Linked DNA regions of Callithrix jacchus. Each later gene encodes a partner of the first gene's protein in a complex. Links are inferred from orthologs where the notes say so. Each region holds a gene or a part of one and is shown in the gene's direction. Other genes may lie near its edges.

The links. Proteins that work in one complex are often made in the same cells at the same time.
Region 2: the proteins of LATS1 (region 1) and NF2 are in contact, whole or in part, in a crystal structure (PDB 7LWH), measured with the Homo sapiens proteins. The link is inferred for Callithrix jacchus from reciprocal best matches to the Homo sapiens genes LATS1 and NF2. Residues at the interface, in NP_004681.1 of Homo sapiens: Pro69, Lys70, Phe71, Gly72, His74, Ala77, Leu78, Glu80, Ile81, Arg82, Ser84, Leu85, Phe88, Ala89, Asn90; in NP_000259.1 of Homo sapiens: Pro135, Glu136, Ala137, Val139, Leu140, Tyr144, Asn175, Leu176, Tyr177, Gln178, Met179, Met183, Trp184, Arg187, Trp191, Glu206, Ile210, Asp213, Leu214, Glu215.
Region 3: the proteins of LATS1 (region 1) and WWC1 are in contact, whole or in part, in a crystal structure (PDB 6J68), measured with the Mus musculus proteins. The link is inferred for Callithrix jacchus from reciprocal best matches to the Homo sapiens genes LATS1 and WWC1. Residues at the interface, in NP_034820.1 of Mus musculus: Ala546, Glu547, Ala548, Pro549, Ser550, Tyr551, Gly553, Pro554, Pro555, Pro556, Pro557, Tyr558, Leu562, Leu563; in NP_740749.1 of Mus musculus: Asp17, Tyr23, Ile25, Asp26, His27, Arg30, Thr31, Thr32, Ser33, Trp34, Asp64, Val67, Tyr70, Ile72, Asp73, His74, Lys77, Thr78, Thr79, Gln80, Ile81.

What each region holds. Positions count from the first base shown.
Region 1 is NC_133505.1:156,496,168-156,500,407, reverse strand, and holds the start of LATS1 (serine/threonine-protein kinase LATS1), read left to right. Parts: upstream 1-1,440; 5' UTR 1,441-1,671; exon of another isoform or gene 1,672-2,017; intron 2,018-4,240. UniProt on the Homo sapiens protein: Negative regulator of YAP1 in the Hippo signaling pathway that plays a pivotal role in organ size control and tumor suppression by restricting proliferation and promoting apoptosis.
Region 2 is NC_133502.1:200,266,626-200,270,125, forward strand, and holds part of NF2 (merlin), read left to right. Parts: intron 1-1,951; coding exon 1,952-2,074; intron 2,075-3,067; coding exon 3,068-3,285; intron 3,286-3,500. UniProt on the Homo sapiens protein: Probable regulator of the Hippo/SWH (Sav/Wts/Hpo) signaling pathway, a signaling pathway that plays a pivotal role in tumor suppression by restricting proliferation and promoting apoptosis.
Region 3 is NC_133503.1:31,343,133-31,346,495, forward strand, and holds the end of WWC1 (protein KIBRA), read left to right. Parts: intron 1-822; coding exon 823-947; intron 948-2,060; coding exon 2,061-2,127; 3' UTR 2,128-2,863; downstream 2,864-3,363. UniProt on the Homo sapiens protein: Regulator of the Hippo signaling pathway, also known as the Salvador-Warts-Hippo (SWH) pathway.

The sequences.
Region 1 (4,240 bases):
AAGCTAATTATTTTCTACATAATTGGCCCAGCATGCTCTCTCCATTTTAATCCCATTGATTAGGAAAGATGTTTGAGACAAGATTTAACTCTCACTTAGGCCGGAGTGCAGTAGTGTGATCCCTGGTTCACTGCAGCCTTGACTTCCTGGGCCCAAGTGATTCTCCCACCTCGGTCTCCCAAGTATCTGGACTACAGACATGTACCACCAAGCCTGATTATTGTTTGCAATTTTTATTGAAATGGGGTTTCACTATATTGCCCAGGCTGGTCTTGAACTCCTGGACTCAAGCAATCTACTTGCCTTGGGGTCCCAAAGTGCTAAGCTGGAGTGCAGTGGTGCGGCTCACTGCAACCTCTACCTCCTTGATTCAAGAGATTCTCCTGCCTCAGCCTCCCGAGTAGCTGGGACTACAGGTGTGCACCACCATGCCCAACTAATTTTTGTATTTTTAGTAGAGACGGGGTTTCACTGTGTTGGCCATGCTGGTCTTGAACTCCTGACTTTGTGATCCGCCTGCCTGGCCTCCCAAAGTGCTGGGATTACAAGCGTGAGCCACCATGGCCAGCGGAACATAATCTTTTAACAGGTTTTCACATTTGGATTTCTGAATACAGTAAGCAGCCAGTTATTACTTTAACATCAGAAAAAGACGTCTGTAATTTTTTTGTAGTCTATAGTAGAAAAATTACGAAAGAAGTTACTTGAAAACACTATATTTTCTAGAGGAAAAACTGGCAAAGGCACTCTTCACAAAGGGTGGACAGTACCTTACACATCAAACCCAGTGATCCCATCCCAGATTTTCTATTCAACTTTACTAGAAGTAAAACCTCTTGTCTTGTCACACCGTCACCGTTATTCCAGTTAGGCAATAACGACCTCCTCCTACGGATGCAGTTGACAGGTCAGATCTCTAAACTCTGCTAATCGGTCCTGGCTCAAGAACTTCTTCTTGGCTGATTCAGAAAATACAGATGCTGGAACCTCATGGGCTTGTTCGGGGAAAGAACGCTAAGCAAGAATAAAATTTTATTTCAAAGCGCCAAAACTCGAATTTTGAGGTCCACAGCGAAGTTTCCCAGAACAACTCAACAGTTGTTCCCTTCGGAGAACGAAGCTCCGTGAAATGCGCATCCCTACTCGGTCCAGAGAAAGAGATCAATGGGAAAAAGGATTCAATCAACCGAGTGGGCTGGGCAGGAGAGAGCCTTAACCCACGGCCGCGGGCGAGTCTTCTGGGCAGGGCAGGCGGGAGCGACGTGGGGCGACGCTCACGAAGGCTCTGAGCGGCGGGCCACGCAACGAGGCCCAGAGGCCTCGGTTGCGCGCTCCCTAGCTGCTGCCGGGCGGGCAGAAGCCCCCAGTCTTCGGCCCCCGCGCAAGCGACGCCGGGAAATGCCCACATCCGGGAAACCTGCAACGGAGTGCGGCGGCGGCGACATTGAGTGGAAGGCAAAATGGCGGCGGCGGCAGTGGCCTGGTGTTAAGGGGAGAGCCAGGTCCTCGGGACCCCCGCGACGGGCCACAGTGGCCCGCGGCAGCCCTCCGGCGTCTCTACCCGCTCTGCCCCACCAGGGATACTTGGGGTTGCTGGGACGGGCTCCGGCCGTCTAGGCGCCCGCCCTCGGGCCGGTGGCCGCTGTCCAGGAGCTCTCCTTTCCCCTCCAGGTAGGTCCGGGGCTGGCGTAGCGGGTGGGGCTCACTTCTCCCGAGCTGGAGTTGGCGGGGCGGTGGCCGCTGGGGCCCACGCCCATCCCCGCTGGCGGGGGTCCAGAGGTTGCTGTGGACTGGCGGGCCGCGGCGGCCCGCTCCGGGCCTGACTGGGCTGGTTGCATTGACCTGAGCTGAGCCCTGCCCTGGGGAAGCGAGGGTTGGCCGCGCCCGGTGCTGCAGGAAGAGCCCCGGGCATTTCGGCCTCGGAAGTGCACGTTGGGCAGGGAAGAGCCTACCTTGCTGGCGGCCTTGCGCCGACTGTCTCCCACCCCACCCCCAAACGCGGGTCGGCGGTGTCCACAGGGAAGGAACGGGAAAGGTGGTTCTGAAGGAAATTTGCAGTGAAAGAGCTACAGTTTTTTGAATCCCAGAGGGCTCTGATCCTGGGTGTATCTTGAAGAAATCCTGGGAGTCTCTTATTTCTAGTTCAATGTGATAAAGGTTACTGTTCATAGTTGGAAATGGTGGGAGAGGTGGAGAGGTCTTTACGGAGTAGGGGTGTGTATATAAATACAGAAAATGAAGGAACGACAATTTAGGGAACAGCGTTTTTTATAACCTGAAAGGGCTTGTAGCTCAATGAATGACTTCCAGATGACTTAATCCCCATTCTGACTTCTCTGTCAATTTCTAATGGAACATAATTTAATGTTTGTCAACTCATATGTTAATACAACTTATAAAACATATATCATCCTCCAGAAGTTATTCATAAATCTTGTGAACAGTAAGTATAGTCTCCTGCACAGAAATAATACTGTATAACTCCAGTTTTGGAAATGAATTTGAATGTTAGTGATCATGAAGCTTGTCAGACCTTTACGAATTGTTTATTGAAGGTTAAAAATTTTTATCCATTTTCCTTCATGAGGAAGAAAAGGTAGGACATTATAGTTGGAATGAATGTTCTCTGCTACGAAAACAAAGCTTATCTCTGATGGTAAAATGGGGTAGTTGATTCCCTAAGGCAGTGGAAGAGTTTGAACAGTGAAAGAAGTAGCATTGTGTTAGTTCCATTGGCTGCTACTGCAAGAAACTAGATCATGGTCCATTCCTGGAACAGCACATTCTGTGCCTAAATATTGATTGAATATGACTTGTTGCTCTCCAAAAACAAGTAAAAAAAATTTTTTTGGCTGTATTTTAAATGTATAATATCTGGCTTTCATTGTGTAGGTCGTTTTTATTTTTGTTTTTATTGCTAGTCCTTGTTATGCTGTATACATAGTCTTGGAATGGTTCTAACTCTGGTTATTTATTCTAGATGTTTTATTTATATTAGTGGGAGATTGTTATACATCACAAAAGTTAGTCATTGAATAACATTTCCACCAAGTAGAAGCAGCAGTCCTTTTTCAGCATTTTTCACTTTTGATCCCACAATTATTAGAAAGTGAACAGAAGAAAATGTCAGTATCCAGTTTCCTGAATATCGCTGTTTATACGAATGAGACTATGCTGCTAAAAAAAGAAACAGCACATATTATTGTTGCTGTCCTTATTACTGATCTGGTCAAAGCTATGACATAGTCATCTTTTTTTTTTTTTAAATGGGGACTCGCTATGTTGCCTGTGCTGGATTCCAACTCCTGGGCTTGAACAGTCCTCCCACCACAGCCTCTCAAGTAGCTGGGACTACAGGCGCACTACTGCACCCAGCTAGGGTACCTTTCTGATAAACTTAATTCAACCCAATCTTATGTAATGGTACCTGTTTTTTTCCAAAGTTGGACAAACTAATGGATGATACTTGTTTGTCGTTTGTATTTTTGATGAGGGTCTGAACTTTAAAAAATAATAATAAGGCCAGGCGTGGTGGCTCAAGCCTGTAATCCCAGCACTTTGGGAGGCCGAGGCGGATGGATCATGAGGTCAAGAGATCGAGACCTTCCTGGTCAACATGATGAAACCTCATCTCTACTAAAAATACAAAAAAAATTAGCTGGGTATGGTGGCGCGTGCCTGTAATCCCAGCTACTCAGGAGGCTGAGGCAGGAGAATTGCCTGAACCCAGGAGGCGGAGGTTGCGGTGAGCCGAGATCGCACCATTGCACTTCAGCCTGGATAACAAGAGTGAAACTCCGTCTCAAAAAAAAAATAGAGATTTGTCATACCCAGGCAGTTTGATTCCAGAGCTCTTACTTTTAACGATTAGGTTAAAAATCATTGAAAGTTACGGAGTAGCTGGGCATGGTGGCTCACGCCTGTAATCCCAGCACTTTGGGAGGCCGAGGCAGGCAGATCACAAGGTCAGAAGATTGAGATCATCCTGGCCAATACAGTGAAACCCTGTCTTTAAAAAAAAAAAAAAAGATGGTGAAACATCTCTACTAAAAATACAAAAAAATAGCTGTGTATAATGGTGTGTGCCTGTAATCCCAGCTACTTGGGAGGCTGAGGCAGGAGAATTGCTTGAACCCAGGAGGTGAAGGTTGCAGTGAGCAGAGATCATGCCACTGCACTCCAAGCTGGGCCACAGAGCAAGACTCTGTCTCAAAAAAAGAGAAAATAATACAATTGAGGT
Region 2 (3,500 bases), on another chromosome or scaffold:
TAGCCTGTGGGCCCTGGCAGAGAATAGCAGAAACTGAAGATTGGTGCTGCGTACAACACAGCAGAGCCACAAACCTGGCATCTGGGCAACAGCAGATCAGGTGGACAGACACTGACCTTGGAGCCAGATCTGAAATTTAGAAAGTGACTAAGTCAGTGACTTACCTTCCATACCTCAGTTGTCTCATCCATCAGGTGAAACTAATGATACACCTTCTCCATCTCAGATGAAGGTCCGTATATTACACCTTACAGTCTTTATAAGCAGTAAACTGCTTTTGTGAATAGGAGGTTCTTTATATTGGGCTAGCGGTCTCAGGGAAAGTACAGTGCCAGGAACTGAAGGAGATTACCTGGGCTTCTTTTTTTTTTTAATATAGAAGTTTTGTCATCCAGGCTGGAATGCAGTGATGCCATCATAGCTCACTGTAACCTCTAACTCCCGGGCTCGAGCAATCCTTCTGCCTTGGCCCCTCAAGTGTCTGGGACTGCAAGTGCATGCTACCACACTTAGTTAATTTTAATTGTTTTGTAGAGATCAGGTCTTGCTGTGTTATCCAGGCTGATCTCAAAACTCCTGGGCTCAAGCATTCCTCCCACCTCGGCCCCTTAAAGTGCTAGGATTATAGGCATGAGCCGCTGGGCCCGCCTTGCCTGCCTGAGCCTTTCCTTCCATCCTTCCTTCCTCCCTTCTTCTCTCCCTCCCTCCCTCCCTCCTTTCCTTTCTCTCTCCTTCCCTTCCTTCTTTCCTTCATTCCTTCTTTTGAATTATAGAGATGCAGTAATCCACCTTATGGAAATTGTAATATGATGGAAATTAGAGAACAAATTTGCCATGCTATTCATTGACTTGCAAGAAGAAAACTGGAGAACTTTTACTGTTTTATTGCTTCTCTTTGCATTATCCTTTCAAGCTCCGATGTGGGGTGTGTGTGTGTGTGTGTGTGTGTGTGTGTGTGTGTATAAAATAAAATTTTTTTGGCTTAGGATTTAGAAGAAGCAGTTTTAGAAACCTTATAAGACCAGAGTGTGGGATAAGATTGAAGCAAGAAGTAATTAAATGTGCATTAATTATTTAAGGCAGAAAATAGTGCAGTGGTCACTTCTGGATTCTGCTTTTTGAACTCAGTTAGTACCCTGAGATCACAGAGGAATGGCACTGTTTTGTGCTTGTTCCCCTTATTAAGCTCAGCATGTGGTCCAATTAATGCAGTGATCCAGAAGGCAAGGGAGGTGGTGGTGGCTTTGTACTGTTGCCTTAAGGACAGGGGGCTGTGTTCCCCGCCTGGCTTCCTCCTGTCATAGGCCTGGCTCAGGAGTTGTCTCTGCGTGAGGCTGTGCAAGTCTGTGCTGTGGCCGTTGCAGCTCCCCACTGTGAAATACAATGTGTGAACTGTTGATGCATCATGCAGAATGATTCCATCTTCTCTGTGGGTCAGAGGCAAGAGTGGAGCTATTGTTGATGAAATCAGAGATGTGAGAGGGGTCCACGTGGATTAGAAATGGTGAGCTGGCTTGCCTAACCAGATGAGAAAGCTGCTTATTTCTGGGGCTCTGTCTTAGAGAGGAGATCCTGCATTGCATCCCATCAGCCACCGGCCAGAGCCGCCAATAAGAAGCATCATTGGCAAGGTAGCCATTTCAGTGCACCGTGTATAAGAATGCCTCTTTCTATCCAGGTCAAGGCTTGGCTTGTTTTTTTGTTTGTTCGTTTGTTCATTCACTGTTAGAATTTTTTTTCAAGGGGCACAACTTTCCACTCTGCAACTGGTTTAGAAGGACAAGGTTACAGGGCAATAAGAATGACCCTGGCTTCCTAAAGGAAAGGGAAGAAAAAGTTCCCTTTCCTTTAGGAAATGGGGAGATTCTGGAGATGGGGCATCTTTGGTCCCTTATGGCACCTAGGTCTTGAGCCCTGTGGTTTGATGACTGTTTTTCTTCACCCCCTGCAGATGGAGCGGCAGCGCCTCGCTCGAGAGAAGCAGATGAGGGAGGAGGCTGAACGCACGAGGGATGAGTTGGAGAGGAGGCTGCTGCAGCTGAAAGAAGAAGCAACAATGGCCAATGAAGCACTGGTGATTTCTGAGGGACCGGGGTTCCAGGAGGCTACCTGGGGACTTCCTGGGCTTTTCTGGAGCTCAGTCTCCTGAGGACCATGAGTTACCAGCATTTGCTTTGATATACTTTATTTCAGCTTTTAAAAAAGTTACTGGCTTTTCTTTCCACCTGTGTTGGCAGAAGCAGATTTAGGTTAGCTCATGTGCAGCCAAATTCCACTTTCACCACGAGGTTGCCTTTATAGCCTGGGCACTACTGATATTTGGGACTGACTATCCTTTGTTGTGAGCTAGATGCCAGTAGCAGCACCTCACCTTCCGTTTGTAACAATCAAAGCATCTTCAGACATTGCCACGTCTCTTTTTTTTTTTTTTTTGAGATGATATTTTGCTCTTGTTGCCCAGGCTGGAGTATAATGGTACGATCTCAGCTCACTGCAACCTCCGCCTCCCAGGTTCAACTGATTCTCCTGCCTCAGCCTCCCAAGTAGCTGGGATCACAGGCGCGTGCCACCACACTCGGCTAATTTTTTTGTGCTTTTAGTAGAAACGGGGTGTTACCATGTTAGCCAGCCTGGTCTTGAACTCCTGACCTCAAGTGATCTGCCCGCCTTGGCCTCCCAAAGTGCTAGGATTACAGGCATGAGCCACCATGCCCAGCCTGCTACAAGTCTCTTGCAGGGAACAAAAAGCTCCTCTGGTTCGAACCACTGATTTAAAGGGAAAGAACAGAGTTTAAGTTGTTTTTCTCCGCGTGACACATAAGCCTGAGCTGAAGTGGGTACTCAGAGGAGGTGCTCTTTTTGTTCCCCATGGGTGCAGCCCGAAGGGCCCTTCTGAAAAGCTGGAGAATGTGGCTTGTCACCTCTTGTCAGAGGGTCATGGGGGGCACTCAGCAGCAGGGCCCCAGGAGTCCAAGACTCTGGTTTGTTCTATTTCTGTTTTTAAGGCAGATCTGGGCGGGAGAATAGCACATGATCCCACTTTAGCTAAGAGCCCCGTGCCTTCCAGATGCGATCCGAGGAGACGGCTGACCTGTTGGCTGAAAAGGCCCAGATCACCGAGGAGGAGGCAAAACTTCTGGCCCAGAAGGCTGCAGAGGCCGAGCAGGAAATGCAACGCATCAAGGCCACAGCCATTCGCACGGAGGAGGAGAAGCGCCTGATGGAGCAGAAGGTGCTAGAGGCCGAGGTGTTGGCCCTGAAGATGGCTGAGGAGTCAGAGAGAAGGTGAGGGGACGCTGAGCACCAGACTGGTGAGGAGGCTGGTGAAGGGCCACAGTCCAGCCTGCCCTGAGGCTGAGCTCCATAGCAGCCATCCTCAAGCTGCTTCCCCATCTTCTGGACTGGAGGGAGGCTACTTCTTTGCCAATGGCGACTGATGCTTCATCCAGTTTGGGGCTGGCGCTACCGGATGGGCATAGGAACTCAGTTCTCCTGCCAGG
Region 3 (3,363 bases), on another chromosome or scaffold:
TCTCAAAAGTGTTTGCATAGGTTTACATTAGGAGGAAGGGGCATAATGTTATATCCAAGCCTCTTAAGAACCACTGCATGGCTTGGATTGGGTTTCCACCTCTTAGTAGTCTGACATTAAAGAAATTTCTTTTCTTTCTGTCTTTCTTTCTTTTCTTTTTTTTTTTTTTTTTTTTTTTTGAGATAGAGTCTCACTCTGTCACTCAGGCTGGCGTGCAGCGGCATGATCTCAGCTCACTGCAACCTCCACCTGCCGGGTTCAAGTGATTCTCCTGCCTCAGCCTCCTGAGTAGCTGGGATTACAGGCGTGCCCCACCACGCCTGGCTAATTTTTGTATTTTTAGTAGAGATGAGGTTTCACCATGTTGGTCAGGCTGGTCTTGAACTCCTGACCTTGTGATCCGCCCACCTCGGCCTCCCAAAGTTCTTGGATTACAGGGGTGAGCCACCCACAGCTCCCGGCTATAGAAATTTCTTACTATGCTGGAGCCTCAGTTCTGTGCATAAAATAGAGGAAATAGCATCTACCTTCCTAGGTGGCCTGAGGATTAGAGGTAGCACACATTTCACCAGGCACCCTTCATTTCCTTACTTCCTCAGATCCACGCAGGTATTCAGTTCCCTGGCCCCCAAAAATCGAATCACTCAAACAGATGATTTGAGCACTTCCCATTCTCATTCTGAATGAAGTGGATCCCATGTGCAGCAGGAGTGAGAATGCCTTCCCTACAGTAGCTCCCTCAGTTGTGATAGCAAGTTCTCCTTGGCTGCCCCTTTCTGGAGGCCCCCTCCACTGACTCAGGGCCTTGCTTGCTTTGCCCAGCAGATGGACCGAGCAGAGCACAAGGGTGAGCTTCAGACAGACAAGATGATGAGGGCAGCTGCCAAGGATGTGCACAGGCTCCGAGGCCAGAGCTGTAAGGAGCCCCCAGAAGTGCAGTCTTTCAGGTAAGCAGAGGGCCCCGGCAGCCCCCTTCTCCCTTTCTCAGCCAACCCACTGGCCTTAGCCTTCTGTCTCTGGTCTCACTGCTCCCATCCCTTGCTCACAGAGCACTGGCTTTCTCTGTAACTGATGTTCATCCTCCGCCAAGCCATCCCTGGCGATCCATGAGCTCTGCAGTGCCCTTCCCCTGGCTGTCTTTATCCGTCCCCACACAACTGAGCTAATTTGTTAGATCCTCTTGTTTAATGAATGAGCCGCCTGCTCTAGCCTTCCCTCATAGTGTTTTTTTTCTTTTTCTATTTCTTTCTTTATTATTATTTTTTTAAAGATGTGTTTCACCATGATAGCCAGGCTGGCCTTGAACTCCTAACCTCAGGTGATCCACCCACCTCAGCCTCCCAAAGTGCTAGGATTATAGCGTGAGCCCAGCCCCTTGTAGTATTTTCATCACTGCTAATTGTGGAAGTTGATAAATAAGCCTGGGGGTGATGGTTGCTCGCTGGGCCTCCCTGGCTCTGCCTGCCACCTGCTAGGATCTCAGGAAGTTGCTTTCTTGCCATGCTGGACCCTAGTGTATCCTTGGAGGACCCTGAGTGCCATTTGGCCTGGGCCTCCCATTCACAGAGTGCCTAGCGTTTAGACTTCTGATGTCCTCTCAGGTACACATTTGTGCATGTGCTTTAAAAAAAAAAAAACTCCTTTGTGAAATACAAAAATTTAAAATGTACAATAATTTGTACAACTGTCTTTGGGCATCTCTTAACTTTTTAACAAATTGAGAATCTAAAACAAACATTGGAAGTGGCCCGAGGGTCCTTTGAAAGGCTGAGAAGCCTCTGGGTCATCGTTCATGCTAATGTTCCTTTAAAGCAGTGGTTCTTAACCAGGGGTGATTTCTCCCCTTCTCCCTGGGACATTTGGCAATGAGCATACATTTTGGGTTGTCATAACTGGAGGTCAAGGATACGGCTAGCATCTAGAGGGTAGAGGCTGAGGACATCGCTAAACATTCTGCAGTGATGTACAGGACAACTCCCACGACAAAGAATTATCCTGCCCAGAATCTCTGTAGAGTGAGGTTGAAAACCCCTGCTCTAAAGGGATGGCCTCTCTTATAGGGAGAAGATGGCGTTTTTCACCCGGCCTCGGATGAATATTCCAGCCCTCTCTGCAGATGACGTCTAACCGCCAGAAAAGTGTTTCCTTCGTTCTACTGACCAGGCTGTGAACATTGACTGTGGCTAAAGTTATTTATGTGGTGTTATATGAAGGTACTGAGTCACAAGTCCTCTAGTGCTTTTGTTGGTTTGAAGTTGAACCGATTTTTCAGTTTGGGTCCTATTGTTATTATTAAAAACAAGAACAAAAACAAAACACACAAAAAAACAGAAACAGAAAAAAAACCAAACCAGCATTAAAATGATAAGATTGTATAGTTTGTATATTTAGGAGTGTATTTTTGGGAAAGAAAATTTAAATGAACTAAAGCAGTATTGTGTTGCTGCTCTTCTTAAAATCCTTTAGATTTTTTTGTTTGTACAGCGCCACCTTTTAGAGGTCTTACTGCAATAAGAAGTAATGCCTGGGGGACGGTAATCCTAATAGGACTTGTCACAGAACAGCTAACTTTTCCTAGTTAACATATTTTGTACAATATTAAAAAAAAATGCACAGAAACCATTGTGGGGGGGATTCAGAGGTGCATCCACGAATCTTCATGAACTGTGACGTGTTTTTATGTGGCTGCCTGACATGGAGCGGGTGGTGTGATAGGCTGGGGGGCTAAGCAACCCAGCCTCTGTGGGTTTCAGGCCACCCTGGTCTCAGATGCCCAGTGAAGCCACTAACGTGAGTGAGGGGAGGGCTGTGGGGAGCTCCATTCAGTTTTATCTCCATCAATAAAGTGGCCTTTCAAAAAGAATCTCCTCTCACTCTTGTTCTCTTCTCCACCCCTCACTTGGTCTGTGTTTCCCTGATATTTGACTCTCCCTTTTCCAGTCATTTCTTTCCCACCCATCCCCAGTCTAGGAAACATTTATGTTTTCTTTTGCCCACTCCTTTCATTTGCTAAGTTTAAATGACTGCTCAATTCGTTAGGAATCCACATCCCCAAGTTAGATCGGGGATGCTGTCTGCACTGTCTCATTCTATGGAATTTCACCCCACCCAATGAGAGATGACTTCACAGTTTCTTCATATGAGCATCATTCCATGTCGTCCCCAACCCAGGGATAGTAGGTCCTGGAGCTTATGTGTTTCATGCTGCTTATGTGGCCCATGTTCCTGCCCAGCTCAGAGCTTTGCAGGGTCTATTGCATCAACATCAGAAGTCAGCCTCTAACAAATAGCAACAGCCAGAAATCTCTTCCTCCGTCCTCTCTGACATTACCCTGTTGTACCACCCAGCAAAGCATGCTGCAC